Danio rerio: one gene and its partners. The protein of the gene in region 2 purifies or fractionates together with the protein of the main gene of each other region. This does not show direct contact. Links are inferred from orthologs where the notes say so. Each region holds a gene or a part of one and is shown on either strand. Other genes may lie near its edges.

Region 1 (4,131 bases), on a different chromosome or scaffold from region 2:
TTCAGATCGGATGTTTCATGGTCCAGTTTCCTGATGTACGCCTTTAACTCTGTTAATGGAAAATAGTGAACATTATAACCGTTCCCTTTGGTTTAAAATCTGTCTGCAACTGTGTTTGAGGGATTAAATTTGACCCACACCCCTGCTGATCCGATCCTTCTCTTCTCTCAGTTTCAAAAGCCCAAGGTGCATCTCGTTGTTTTCTTTGACTAGCCGGGCATTTTCTGTTTTATATGGCTCCAGAATAGCATCCACATTGCGGCTCTCCTTTTCTGTCTTACCTGCAGCAAGCTTGGCATTCCTGAGACTCTCTGTGGTGTGGATCAGGTCACTGAGATACAAATCAAAACTGACTGATTATGCTTTTAACATATCATGTTGCACATAGTACAGTAAATACAGTTGAAACCAGAAGTTTACATACACTCTAAGAAAGGAACATAACCTTTTTTTTCCTTTAGGATTATCTAAATGAGTTACATTTTCTAAATGCCAGAATAATGAGAGTAATAATGTTTATTATTATTATTATTAAGTTTTTTTATTAATTTCTATACAGTCAAACATTTACATACATTTCCTTGGTAGTTTTTTAGCTTTGCTTTTAAACTGTATAACTTTGGTCAAATGTTATGTGTATCCTTCCACAAGCTTCTTACAATAGTTTGAAGAAATTTTGGCCCATTTCTCCAGACAGAATTGGTGTGACTGAGTCAGGTTTGTAGGTTGATTTGTCTTGCTTGCACAAGCTTTTTCAACTCTGCCCACACATTTTTTAGTTTGAGCTTAGGGCTTTGTGATGGCCTCTCTAAAACATTCACTCTGTTGTCCTTAAAGCAAATTTTAGCTAATGTGGCAGTATGCTTAGGGTCATGGTCTGTTTGGAAGACCCATTTGTGGCCAAGTTTTAATTTCCTGGCTGATGTCTTGAGATGTTGCTTCAGTATTTCTACATAATGTTCAAACTTTATGATGCCATCTATGCTGTGAAGTGGGCCAGTCCCTCCCACAATATGATGCTGCCACCCCCATACTTCACAGTTGGGTTGGTGTTCCTAAGCTTGTAAGCTTTCCCTTTGTCCTCCAAATGTAACACTGGTCATTATGGCCAAACAGTTCAATATTAGTTCCATTAGACAGCAGGACATGTCTCCAAAAATTATTCTTTTTCCCAGTGTTTTTTTTTTTTTTTTTTGATTCTGGCTTGTTGATTTTCCCATGTTGTCACAAAAGGAAGCAGTGTGTTTGAGGTTTTCCTAAAATACTATTCTACTGTTGTGCCTCCAGTTAACTCAAATGTAGTCAATTAGCCAAGCAGAAACTTCCAAAACCTTGACAACATCATCTGAGCTTTGTCAGAGGCATAATAATCTTATTGTATGTAAACTTGACTTTCAAGAGAAGTTATAACAATTTCTTTAAAAACATCTCTCTCATTATTCTGCTATTAAGCATAACAGAAACTAATTTGATAATCCTAGAGAAAAGAGAAAAGGTTTAGTCACATATTAACATCTGACTTTTAAAAATGGTTATGTGCCTTTTTATACAGTTTATGCAAACTTCTGGTTTCAACTGTATTATTATATTTTAATCAGCATTTATTTGATTTGTTACCCCAGACTAGTGCTTTTATTGTTTAATCACCCTCATGTCATTCCAAACAAATGAGAATTTTGAACATTTTTGAAAAACAAGTGAAGACAATTTTATTGAAATCAGTTTTGTAAATGTCAAGCGATCATGTCTTATCAGAAGACTTAAACCACTTGAAAATGCTATGTGACTTGCAAGAATGAAAATGATTGATTTTAATAAAAAGTGCTTTGATTTGTGCTCTAAAGATACATGAATATCTTATGGGTTTAAAATGACATGTTGGTAAACGATGATAGATTTAAGTATCAAAGAGTTTTGAGTTAACTCCTCAAAAACTTTAAAAAGTTTTTTTGATGTACACCACATTTCATGAACTATTTAGAAATAATCTGTAAAATTATACACAAATAATCATATGTATGTATGGGTGATCTGTGTCAGTACTTGATGTGACCCAAAAGATAAGCCTCTTTAGTCGTGTGTAGTTGAGCTCTTGTTCACCTGAAGAGTTTCTCCACCAGTGGCAGACTCTCGATGGCCAGCGGCTGCCTGTAGCCCAGCTGATCCAAGCGCTTCCGCAGATTGATGAACTTCCGCTCTGCGTTGGTCGTCATGGTCATTCAACACAAATACGCGCTCCGCTCTACAAGCAAAGTGATTCACATGTCAACAACAGATTTAACAAAGACCTTTTACATCTTCTTATCTTATACTTTCATCGTTTGCCGTGTATTGAAACCTATGCGCTGCCAAATCAGACAGCACTTTTGGACGCATTGGCAACATTCTGTAAGCTAACTACGTTTTAAAACGCGACCACAAAACTACAGCAAATTATTTAACATTAACTACGACACATACAGAAATGCCCCGTTTTCATAAAGCGTACTTAACGTACACCGATGTTTGTAGTTGTTTAAGTGCGCTGTCAATTTGTTATCAGTGCTCTAGTCTTCATTCTGCAGCTCTGACATACGCAGCTTCTCCACCACACAAAAATAAAGCATTAAGCACAATAAGCAGACAGCACAACAGTCCACCTCACTTGCTGTTCGTTGTTTGGATAACACTTCTCGGCGTTTTCATTGTGTAAAATGTTTTTTTCGGTTAGCTAATCATCAGTGTGTGCTGCAGATTTCCTCCCCTCCCCGCGGTGAATGGTCTTCCGGTGGCGGTAACACTGCTTGAAAATGGCGCCGAGGAGAAAGGAAAGACCACAGTCCTGCTCAAGTGCCGTCAAACTGGAACCTGAGAAACAGCGACATTTAGTGGACGTTGAGTAGTAAACGGTATAAAAAAAGTGATCACAACTGCTTTTACTCATGTAAATTCAGTGCAATTATAATTGAACATGTAAAGTCAGACCTTTCCCCATGGGAACAGTGTATTGAACCTTTAGACAAAAACTCAATCCTCTTATGTGCTTTGCATCATTTTTAATAAATCAGGTGCTTTGCCCATTTAGCACGATTGCCTATTTTTTAGCAAACTATTGGAGGAAAAACACACATTTTATTTAGGAGCACAAACTGAACAAATATAACGTTATACTTTCATGCATTTGTTTATCATACATGTTTATGTTTACAGATTACATAAATAATTGCATATAAATATCTGTTACAATCACTCTATCATCTTCCAACAATATTATCAATACATAATATATGATGAGGCTACATGGTGGCTCAGTAGTTAGCACTGTCGCCTTATAGCCAGAAAGTTGCTAGTTCGAGTCCCGACTGGGTCAGTTGGCAACTCTGTGTGGAGTTTGCATGTTCTCCCCATGTTAGCTTAGGTTTCCTCCTGGTGCTCCGGTTTTCCCCACAGTCCAAATAGACAATTTTGAGGAATGTAAACAAAAACAATGGCCCCAATTTATTTCCTGTTTTACATTTTTAATTTATAGAGCTTCCGAGAACCCAAAAAGAGCCACATATTGATAAATTATGTTATGATAGCTGTTTTAACATTACATTATGATTAAATTGCCTTTTACAGTTCGGAAATAATTTGCTAACCAGCAGGAAAATTTCATGGGCCAAAGACATCACTACATTGAAATGGTCTATAGATGAATTGAATGAACTAAATTTGCCAAATAGCGTATGAGTGTGAATAAATGTGAGGATGTTTCCCAGTACTGCGTTGTGGCTGGAAGGGCATCCACTGTCTAAAACATATGCTGGATAAGTTAGAAGGAAAATGAATTAATCAATATATTGATATTATATTATTATAGCATTAAAATATAATATTATAATATCAATATTACAATATTCTACTTTTAAATATATTAAAATTTTATAATATTTTCTGTACTTTAATGGGAAGAGGTAGTCACTGCAGTATTTCTGTTGTTATATGCTGGTGTGTGTTGTGAATTGTGTAAATCTATTTAACCTGCAAAACAAGTTACCCCAAAAGGGGACAATAAAGTTTACAGAAACCGTAACAATGTCTCAGTAAGACAATGTTGAAATGCTTGGTTTTATGATCAAAACATATAATGCAGTGCAATGATTGCAGCAT
Region 2 (7,674 bases):
TACGTGTAATACTTTTATTAAAATAATATAGTTTCCAAGATAAAAAAACGTACAATTATGTTAATTTTCTGTAGCAGTCATAGCATTTTCTATATAAATATATCACAAAAAGCTCTGATTGGCCGACTTCAGTTGTTATGCATTATGTCTTTGGGCAATTTGGTGGTATATAAATGTTTTGTGAAAATGAGCAGTGATTTTCTTTAACCCCTGTGTGCTGTTAAGGATGTTTTCATTCACTCTGAGGTGATTTTGAGTCTTCATTTGGCCTCTGTGCTTCAGCAAATGTAATGATTTTTAGTAACAAATCTTATTTTGACATATTTTGGGAAAATGCTTTGAAAATATGGAGTGTGCATTCAACAATACACACTGGGCAAATTTACCACCCTTTCATTATGTCCGGGGCGGTTTTTGCCCCATTGACTTCCATTAAAAATCACATTTTTTGATTGCAAAGCTTTGACACTATATAATCATGCATTCTTGATTGTTGCTAGTTTTCCCTGTTGAAAAGAGGTACAAATTGTGGTATTTACTGTTGATCGTCAGTTGCAGTGCAAAAAAAGGTTAGATTTTGGCTTTAAATTATATAGTTATATGGAGTGTAGTGTGTGTGTGTGTGTGTGTGAGAGAGAGAGAGACCTTTGTGCACTTACCTTGACACGTTTCAGAAAATAAAAAAAGTAAGTCAATGTAAGTCAATGTGGCAAAAAACAGCCTGGACATAATAAAAAGGTAGTCAATTTGAACAGTATACAAGGGTAAACGTTAGGAAAGATCACCTCACCTCGAGACAGTTGTCCCACACCGCAAGCACACAGCCATTAGGAGACCACTCCAGCCCTGCCAGATCCTGAGTCTCGCTCTCAAAATGCTGCAGACAATATGATTTCTTTATTGCCACATCAGCAACTTATGGCAATTTTCATGGCAAAATCAATACAGATGAAAGTGTATTACATCATAATAACAACAACGACAACATCATACACTAATAAAAGACAATGTTGCAAATTTTACATTAACTTTAGATTATTTTTCATTATTACTAACTTTAAATTTAAGGTGACATAATTACACACGTTCCATGCACTTACTATAGTATTTACAAATCAATTCTGCATAATTACATGCAGCTAACCCTAAACCTGACCCAAATTCTTTGAATCAATATTACTCAGTAGTTAAATGAATAGTTACACTGTAACTATGTCACCTTAAAATGATCCTAATTTATTTAAAACTTAAAAGTAGACCTCATTTTTCACTTTGTTATGATAAATAACTTAAAATTCTTCTTTTTGAACACATCCAAAGTAATCTCAGAGAGTAATAATGTGACATTCTCAGACAAAATACCCACCTACAGTTGAAGTCAGAGTTATTAGCCCCCTTTAATGTTTTTTTTTCTTTTTTACATATTTCCCAAATTATTTTTAACAGAACAAGGAAATGTTCACAGTATGTCTGATAATATTTTTTCTTCTGGAGAAAGTCTTATTTGTTTTATTTCGGCTAGAATAAAAGCAGCTTTTAATTTTTAAAAAAACATTTTAGGGACAAAATTAGTAGCCCCTTTAAGCTATTTATTTACTATAGTCTACAGAACAAACCATCCTTATACAATAACTTGCCTAATCGCCCTAACCTGCCTAGTTCACCTTATTAACCTAGTGAAGCCTTTAAATGTCACTTTAAGCTGTATAGAAGTGTCTTGAAAATATTAAGTAAAATATTATTTACTGTCATCATGGCAAAGATAAAATAAATCAGTTATTAGAAATAAGTTTTTAAAAATATTATGCTTAGAAATGCGCTGAAACAATCTACCCTCCATTAAACAGAAAAAAATAAACAGGGGCGCTAATAATTCAGGGGGGCTAATAATTCTGACTTTAACTGTATACTGTAATCACCATCTAGATTTTTGCTAAAAAAAAAAAAAAAAGTCATATCTGATGTCAGAAATGTCATATTATTAACAGTTAATAACATTGAAATGTTTTCATATAGAGGCAAAAAAGTGATTAAACATTTTTTAATATAAATAATAATATTATTATTATAATTCAATTGAAATTCAAAACGTATTAAATATTAACAACTAACAAAGGCCGGTCAGAGTTTCCTGCCTGTTTGAGTTTCTTTCTTTTATTTGAACACAAAATAAGATCTTTTGAAAAAAGCTGCAAACCTGTAACTATTGACTTCCATTCTTATTATGTGATCAATGGTTACAGGTTTAAAACTTTCTTCGAAATATCTGCTTTTTTGTGTTCCAAAATTGAGTACATTTCCATTTTTTGGGTGAACTATTCTTTAAAAAAAGAGAACAATTAGTTAAAATTAGTGGATAAAATTACAAATCTTACAGCATTTATTAACATTGGAATAGATTTGAATCATTTATTGTATCCGCTTGTTACTGTAAGTGCGACGTCACGCGAAGCGGCTTCCAGGTCCAAGCGCTCTATTCAACTGAACGGGGAGACTCATGAAATGGTCATAATAAACGTTTACAAAGCGATTTAATGCTTTCGAAAATCATGATCGCAGTAGATATGTCCATGCCTAATATCCGATGGCCAGAAAGTGATAAAAATTTTTTTATAAATTGTTAAATTGTTGGTATTTGTTATGCAGCAAGCCCAGAGATTGTTGTGTACACTATGATTTGATATAAAATTAACTTTAATGTGTGATAGGAATAAAACGTGAACATAAACGAAGGATTTCTCCACTCAAATGAATGGCGGCTTGGACCCGGAAACAGTATTACATACGTCACAAACACGTCACCACTTAACAAGCGGATAGTAAATGTAAAGTTTTTCTGAATATTTAATAATACAAGTATTTTTTATTTATCCTAAATAAGGAAAAATGCAATCAGATTTTTTTTAGATTTACAAAAATGAACAAAGTGAAGAAACACGACCAGGATGTTCTGCTGGCTACATTTGAACATGTGCCTCTTTGTGAGCACCATATAGCCCAACTTATAAGTCTTCTGCCAGTTGTACTCACTCTGAGCAGATGCCAGTCGTCACATACAAACACACTGATGTAGTCCTTACAATCCCGTCTCTCTGCCAGCGCCATATAACGGCCATCTGCAGTGAAGTCCATGCCTGAAACATGTTTATACATTTGAACATAAATATTCAGTCATTCATTCATTCAAGTCACACTATAGATTGAATTTCTTGTGGTTGATTTTATATGGACTAGGGAACTATATAGAATTCATCAGCCACCCCAGTATATTTTTCCTCCTAATTTAGCTTTAACGGAAATAATATTTCAAAGCATTTCTAAGGATAATAGTTTTAATAACTCATTTCTAATGACTGACTTATTGTCTCTCTACTATGAAGACAGTAAATAATATTTCACTAAATATTTTTCAAAACACTAAAATTTAGCTTAAAGTGACATTTAATGGCTTAACTAGGGTAATTAGGGAAGTCCTTGCATAATGATTGTTAGTTCTATAGCTTAAAGGGGCTAATATCACAGGGATCTATTTTAGCTTCAATGTTATTTTCACTGTATATAAATGACTTAGGTCAAGAGAAACACGGCTAAAATCCATTTATATGCAGACGACAGTTGCAAAATCTATGAATCAAGCCAAAGAGATCTGCAAATAAGACTTCTTTTGGTTACTGCGATTTTCACTGCTGAAATTGAAGTTGGTTTTAAATGCAAAAAAAACTAAATGTATGTCGTACAAAAATAAAGGTTTAAGCCAATCCTAACCCTGGAGGGGGACTGTATTGAAAGAGTAAACAGTTATAAATATTTGGGCATATGGCTTGGTGAATGGTTGGGTTTTAATATTCATATTGAAAATCTTGCGTCAGCGCAATAGCCTAGTGGTTAGCGCGCCGACATATGGTGCAATAGCATGTCAGGGCGTCGTGAGTTTGAATCCCGGCTCGACGACATTTCCCTACCCTACCCCCTCTCTCTCTCTCCCACTTCACTTCCTGTCTCAATACTGTCCTATTTCAGTGGTTCTCAAAGTGGGGGTCGGGACCCCCCGAGGGGTCGCGGGACTATGAAGGGGGGGATCGCCTGGTGATTTCCAAAAATCTATTTATTTTTATTAAACCATAAGAATTACCATTTTAATCCATAACCTACTAGAAAAATAGTCGTTTACAGTTACTTAATACACTACTGTATATAGTTACTATAGTAGCTTATAGTTACTAGTTCTATTGGATTGCAACCCCTCAGGTAATTACATTATATTAAAGACTCAGCAATAGCGTTAGATGCAGCAGATTGATTTTATAATACCAGGTTAAACTTTCTAGCACATTTACAGCACTGACATACATTAATAAAATATAACGAAGAATAGACTTGGGTTTATTGGTGTGTGTGCGCCGCATTGCATGCAAGGTTTCTGTATTTATAACCACATCAGAGGATATTGGGGGTCGCAAGTTATTGGCATTGTTATTTTGGGGGTCGCGAGCTGAAAAGTTTGGGAACCCCTGTCCTATCTTATAAAGGCAAAAAGGCCAAAAATAAATCTTAAAAAAAAAATAAAGAAAATCTTGTAAAGAAGCTCAGACCTAAATTGGGTTTTTATTTTTGTATTAAGAAATGCCTTCCTCTCAAAGCAAGAAAAAGAATGATTCAAAGCTGTTTTCTTTCAGTATTAGATTATGGCGATGTAGTTTATATGCATGCAAACCTGTTGTTATTACAAGATGTGCAACTGAAACTACGGATACTGGAAGCCTGTGCTTGCATTTCTCCTGCGGTGTTGCTCTCAGTGTGTGAAGAGTGGGAGAAGAGGGTTGCATTGACAATCCAACACAATGGGCAGCACATTGAACACATTTTATAAGTAGTCAGAAACTTGTAAATAACTCATAAAAGAGTAAAGTTACGTTAAAATCAAGCACACCATTGTGTTTCTTGTGAAATTCCCAATAAGTTTGATGTGTCAAATGACCCTCTTACTATTGAATAAACAAACGTTGGATCCAAGATGGCTCCATGACTTCAAAATGGCCATGGTCACCACCCGTCTTGAAAAGTTTGCCCCCTCACATATACTAATGTGCCACAAACAGGATGTTAATATCGCCAACCATTCCCATTTTATTAAGGTGTATCCATATAAATGGCCCACCCTGTACAACTTGCATTTGTAAAATGTAAAAACATCAGCTCTTCAAGTACTTCAAGTGCATTCAGACAGTTTTGTTAGCATCTTGTTAGGAAGAGAAACCTTTTTTCTTTAGTGTTGTTGAACTACTTTAAATCATGTGCTCCCCCAAACAAGACGAAGGTCAATTATGTTATGAATGGAATTGCGCTCCATAACTTTGACCCATGGCGGCAACAATAAATGACTAAAACGCTCATAACTCACTCTGTTAGACGGACAACGTGACACTGCCACAGCAACACCTTTCAACAAGCCTTCCAGCAGCTGATCTGAAGGTTACAGCTCAATCTGCACACCACTGGCCAGAAAATGAGTCTTTGGCAGTAATGTGTGATATGAAGTGAACGTCTTCTGGAGCGTACGTTCTCTGCATGTTGACAGCAGGGGTTGTGAGGACTATGTGCTCTTTGCCAGCTGTTTGGGGGAGCTCATGTCTGGCTGGACGTCCAGGGACTTGTATTACAGGTAAATACTTTCCCATGATTCATTTGCGACCTTGTCCTTACATCTCCTCTGGCACAAACCCTAGATAAAACTGCAAATCTAAATCAGAAAAAGTTGGGACAGTATGGAAAACGCAAATAATAAAAGAAAATAGTGATTTCTAAATTTTCTTTGACCTTCCTTTTATTCAGACCTGCACACATTCCAAAAATGTGTCACGATAAAAGCAATTTAGGGCTAGTAAACAGGTAAAATGGTTAAATAATGATGTGATGTGAAACAGGTGATGTTAACAGGTGATTGTAATTTTGATTTGGTACAAAAGCAGCATCCAAGAATGGTCGAGTCATTTAGGAGCAAAGATGGGCCGAGGATTGCCTGTTTGCTGACAAATACGCGAGAAAATTATTGAAATGCTTAAAAACAGTATTCCTCAAAGAAAGAAAGGAAGACATTTGGATATTTCACCTTCAACAGTCAACAGTGCATCATTAAAAGATTCAAGGAATCGGAAGGAATTTCAGTGTGTAAAGGACAAGTGTGCAAGCCTAACCTGAACAACCGTGATCTTGGACCCCCTGAGGCGGCACTGCATCAAGAATCCTCATTCCTCTATTAGAGATATCACTACATGGGCTCGAGACTGCTTTGACAAACCTTTGTCAAGTACCACAAAACGTAGTTACATTCACAAATGCCAGTTAAAACTGTACTGTACTGTGCCAAAAGGAAGCCCTATGTTAACAGTGTCCATAAACAGCGTTGACTTCACTTGACTTCTAGGGCATCAGGAATGGACTATTACACAGTGGAAACGTGTACTGTGGTCAGATAAATCAGTATATCGGGTATTTTTTGGGAGAATTGGATGTCATGGACCAAAAAAGAAAAGCATCATCCAGACTTTTACCAGCAGCAACAAGTCTAAAGGCCAGGTTCTGTCATGGTAGTCCCCTTGGCAAAGGCAACTTGCACATCTGCGATGACACCATTATTGCTGGAAAGTACATAGAGAAGGCTCCTCCAGGCTACAGAGGATAGAGGTATTTGACTGGTCTGTCTGCAGTCTTGACCTGTCCCCAATAGAGAATGCGTGGTGCATAAGGCAACTAAGAAAGACCCCGTACTGTTGTCCACCTCAAGACTTGTTTGCAGATAGAATGGGGAATAAATGACACCTGAAACACTTCATCACTTGGTGTCTTCAGCCCCTAAACGTCTTTTAAGTGCTGTGAAAAGGAATGGCGACATTACTAAGTGGTAAATGCTTTACTGTTCCAGTTTTTTTTTTTAATTCATTGCAAGAACCAAAATTGGAATATGATTTTTATTGTTTTGTTTTTTCAAGGTAAACACTTGAGGAACACATTAAATATTATTTTTTTATTGTCCACAATGAAATACAAATCAAAGTAAATTTAGAAATCACTTCTTTCTTATTTTAATCAGCATTTTTTCGTACTGTCCTATTTTCTTCTGATTTGAGGTTGTAAGTATACCTCAAGTCTATTAGACGCTAGCTCACATCAACTCACCTTTCTGGCAGGCTTTGGGATATTTGATGTATGATACGGATTTTGTGCATAGGGACCAGACAGTGATTCTCAACTGTGAAAATAAAGCAAAAACAACATATATGGAATTAACATATTTAGTTTAACAAGTTTTATTTAATGTTTTGTGTATTTTAGTTTTTTTTTTAAATCAGCAGTTTTCCATATTATGTGATTCATGTTTTCATTTTTTATTTCTCCCAAGTTTATTTAAACTTTTGAACTGCAGTATGGCAGCTTGATCTTTCTTCCAACAACTTTTAACATTGAAAAGTTAGAAAAAGTGACTTTTATTGACATTATTAAAAGTTTAAAGTGATATATAGTCTGGGTTGATGTTATATATTATGGTACAAAATCTTTGCAACAAACTGCCAGTACATTTATTATTTGTTATTTTACAGAATTATTTCTCTATATATTATTTATTATAAATTAAATTTTTTCAAACTACTAAAATATCAGTAAATGCCACTTTGT
Region 3 (4,144 bases), on a different chromosome or scaffold from region 2:
TGGTTTTTAACATTGGATGTAGGTCAGGGGTGTCCAAACTCAGTCCTGGAGGGCCGGTGTCCAGCATAGTTTAGCTCCCAACTTGCTTCAACACACTTGGCAGGAAGTTTCTAGTATATCTAGTAGGAGCTTGATTAGTTCAGGTGTGTTTGATTAGGGTTGGAGCTAAACTCTTCAGGACACCGGCCCTCCAGGACCTAGTTTGGACACCCCTGATGTAGGTGAATTGTAAATGAAGGCTACCCTACACTAGAAACGTCAACAAAGAAAACAAACGATAAGTTTATTGGGTGTTTGAGCAAAAGAACCTCATATTCTCGTAAAAGCAGCTCCCCTCGAGTCTTTCGGAGGCGTCTCTTTACAGAATTGCTCTCATTGGAGTCAGTATCGGTTGTGGCTCCTGTGAGCATACAGACAGACACACACACTGTCAAACATGAAGAAACATACAGTTGAAGGCAAAATGATTAGCCCTCCTGTGAATTTTTGTATTCTTTTTCCAAATATTTCCCAAGTGATGTGTAACAGAGCAGAGGGGAAAAGTGTCTACGTTAAACAGCACTTGGGAAATATTATAAAATAATTTAAATTTCAAAGGAAGACTAAATATTTTTACTTCAATTATATTTAATCACATTCAAAAAGAGCTTCATATTTCAATAACAGCAAGGTTTGACCAGGAAGTGTGTTGACTTTACCAATGATTTCTCTGCAGGGGTTTTCTGGGGTGATGGCCACTCTACAGGTGGGACACTGACTGCTCTTCTCCAGCCAGACTTTAATACAGCTGGAGCAGAACACATGGTTGTTGCAACAAATGACCGGCTGACGCACCTGCGAATCAGAGCCAAAAAAAACCAACAACAGGTAAATTAAGCATCATGATTCATGCTTGTTGATATTCATGACAACTAACAATGATCATTATCTACATTACTCATCATTGTTAACAAAGATGACAAATAACTCATGCATGTGGGTCAAAAATTCTACCTAAAAATGATGATTCACATACACAGAAGCATATTAAATCTAAAAGCTAATTACTTATAAAATGCTTCAAATAATATAAAATGTCAAAATATGGATGAATTAATAATCATTATTGTCGTTCAGGGTGACGTGGATTTATGTACAAATTAAACTACATATTTATTTTGACAGGTACTTGATAAAATATATTTAAAAATTAGCAATCTAAATAATAGCATTGTATATGAAATTAATATAAACGTGAATAAAAGCTAGTAAAAATATTCTAAATACAATTTTACAGGGTACGATATAATATTGTAATAAAGTAACAATAAATATTTATGATGCAATACTTCTAGATTACTAGGATTCAGAAAGACAGACAGACAGACAGACAGACAGATATGTGGATAGACGGACGAACGGATATGTTGGTGGATGGATGGATGGATGGATGGATGGATGGATGGATGGATGGATGGATAAATAGACAGACGGACGGACAGACAGACAGATATGTGGGTGGATGGATGGATGGATAGATGGATGGATGGATATAGATAGATAGATAGATAGATAGATAGATAGATAGATAGATAGATAGATAGATAGATAGATAGATAGATATGTGGGTGGGTGGATGGATGATGGATAGATAAATAGACAGACAGACGGACCGACGGACGGACAGACAGACAGATATATATGTGGGTGGATGGATGGATGAACGGATGGATGGATGAACGGACGGACGGATGGACGGACAGACAGACAGATGATAAAAAAAAAAAAATACCCTCAGCAAGTCCATTTTCCCATCCTGCCTCAGTAAATTCTTTGCCCTGCCCATTAACAAACTTAAACCAATCAGATGAGGTGTTGCATGTCAAACATGCATATGTTAGCAAACGCTTTTAACAGTTAGCATTAACTGCATTTTGAGCAATACATCTCAACGCAGCAGAGAAGTAAAAGTGTTTAGGTAAATACCGGGCTGGTGCTTTTGAATGTTTTGTTGTTTAATTTAGTTCTATTTAAGTGTACTGGTATAATAGCGCTTTTCACAATAATTATCGTACCAAAGCATCATTACATTACACTCTAAATCAGCAAAGCTAGGTTAAGTTGTGTATAGGGTGGACTGTAATAAACACAGTTAACCAGATGAAGGTAAAGTTATATTCGCGCATTCGGTCATTTAACAGTTCGTATATTGTTTACCATGCTACATTGAATATTCGGTCTTAAGCATGAAAGTATGGATTCAAAACAACATTAGCACTATTTATTTAACTGTAAACAATGCTGTACTTTGATAGTCATTGGCTGCTAATAAGATTTCCCTATTTAGAATTAGCTTTTGTGAAACTATATTATTAAGGATGAATGTGTGAATATAAAACCAACTTAACTTCAATGTTAACCTGCAGGAATTTGTTTGTTCAAACCAAATGTAAGTTAACTTACTGTTAGAAATTATCGCTGTTTCTAGACGTTGTATCTTTAATAGGCGTTATTTTATCACAGTGTCTTACGTAATAGTTTTATGTTAAAGATATATTAATAAATAATGGACATAACGAGACATAATTTAAGATGCAACAATGACATGATGTTGACGAGCACACTGTACGAGTTTAACTTCTGTCGGTAACTTAAACTAAGTGTATTAAAAGTTTGTTACCTTTCCGAGACAAATCTGACAGGATATGGGTAAAGTCAACGAAAGAGTGACGTTTTGAAAACTTTGCGCCATGATTAGTCCTTAAATGCACAACATGATCCAAAACTCCCTCCAACAGAGACAAAAAGAGGCGAGGAACCCACGCGACTACGGCAAGCGCAGAGCTCTACTGTAAAACGCGTCTGTCGTAAATCTCAATGTGGCGCTTTTATGTAAAGGAAATCAAGTGCTAGTTTTATTGTACATTTGTTTTGCTCCCAAGCAGGAAACTCTTGTTTTTTTTTTTTGTTTTTTTTTTTAGAAAATATTAGCCACAAACTATTCAGTTCAATCTTGAAAAAATATTGTTTGTATCTCATATACTGCTAATAAAATAGGTAAGCAATCTTTCAGTAAGCATTATTATTATTAGTAGAAGTAGTATTTATTAATACATGGGTTAATTTTAATAACTTCATCAACATTGTATTGTATCTTATATACTGCTAATATGTACGCATTCTTTTAGTGAGCATTATTATTATTATTATTATTATTATTATTATCATCATCTAAGCTAATACCAATAGTTTAATTAATAGTAGGAGTAGTAATAAATTATAATATTTCATTTTTGTATAATAAAATATGCATGCATTCTCTCAGTAAACATCATTATTAGTAGTAGCATTTAACAGTAAATGATAAAGATTACTTTTAATAATAATAAATATGTTATAAAATAATATTTATTATAGTAAGACCCTATAACAGCAATTAAAAGCCAGATGAAATTTTATGTATTTTTTGATTATTATTTCTATAATTGTAAACTATTTATTTTAATTTTTTATTGTTTTATTTATTTATTATGTTTAATTATTTATTATTATTTATCTTATAAAAATAATTATTTATTTCTTAGTATTATTATTATTATTATTATTATTATTTATATATAATTGTACAATATTAATTTGATTGTTTATTTATTTTTAATGTTTTTAATTATTTTTTAATTATTTTATTTAATTTATTTTATTTTTAATTATTATATATAATTTAAAATATTTATTTATTTATTTATCTATTTATTTATTCATTATTTTTATTATTATTATTATTATATAATTGTAAAATACTTATTTTTATTTATTTTTTATTGTTTTATTTGTTTATTATTTTTAATTATTTTTATTATATAAAATGAAAATATTTATTTATTGTTATATATATATATATATATATATATATATATATAATTGTAAATTATTTATTTTTTATTATTTTGTTATTTTTATTGTTTTATTTATTTGTTATTTTTGATTATTTATTATTATATATCATAAAAAAATATTGATGTTTTTTATTTATTCACTTATTTACTACACCAAACATTTTTAATGCATTTATAATAGTGTTTGCCTCCTTTTCTCCCAAAGCGTTTGGTCTCTTAAAGTCAGCCCTTTGTTTCGAGAGTTTTATTGCGACAGTATAAACCATTAT

Evidence for each region. Proteins that work in one complex are often made in the same cells at the same time.
Region 1: the proteins of wrap73 (region 2) and cep135 purify together in Homo sapiens (co-immunoprecipitation; 6 studies listed by BioGRID and IntAct, counting the BioPlex papers as one, with this or other methods). This does not show direct contact. The link is inferred for Danio rerio from reciprocal best matches to the Homo sapiens genes WRAP73 and CEP135.
Region 3: the proteins of wrap73 (region 2) and obi1 purify together in Homo sapiens (affinity purification with mass spectrometry; 3 studies listed by BioGRID and IntAct, counting the BioPlex papers as one, with this or other methods). This does not show direct contact. The link is inferred for Danio rerio from reciprocal best matches to the Homo sapiens genes WRAP73 and OBI1.

The regions. Positions count from the first base shown.
Region 1 is NC_133195.1:28,387,988-28,392,118, reverse strand, and holds the start of cep135 (centrosomal protein of 135 kDa), read right to left. Parts: upstream 2,801-4,131; 5' UTR 2,645-2,800; exon of another isoform or gene 2,498-2,644; intron 2,243-2,497; 5' UTR 2,220-2,242; coding exon 2,101-2,219; intron 332-2,100; coding exon 141-331; intron 50-140; coding exon 1-49. UniProt on the Homo sapiens protein: Centrosomal microtubule-binding protein involved in centriole biogenesis. Acts as a scaffolding protein during early centriole biogenesis.
Region 2 is NC_133183.1:58,588,204-58,595,877, forward strand, and holds part of wrap73 (WD repeat-containing protein WRAP73), read right to left. Parts: intron 7,250-7,674; coding exon 7,177-7,249; intron 3,135-7,176; coding exon 3,031-3,134; intron 878-3,030; coding exon 791-877; intron 1-790.
Region 3 is NC_133181.1:5,242,955-5,247,098, reverse strand, and holds the start of obi1 (ORC ubiquitin ligase 1), read right to left. Parts: upstream 2,801-4,144; 5' UTR 2,732-2,800; coding exon 2,660-2,731; intron 868-2,659; exon of another isoform or gene 835-867; coding exon 699-834; intron 401-698; coding exon 309-400; intron 1-308. UniProt on the Homo sapiens protein: E3 ubiquitin ligase essential for DNA replication origin activation during S phase.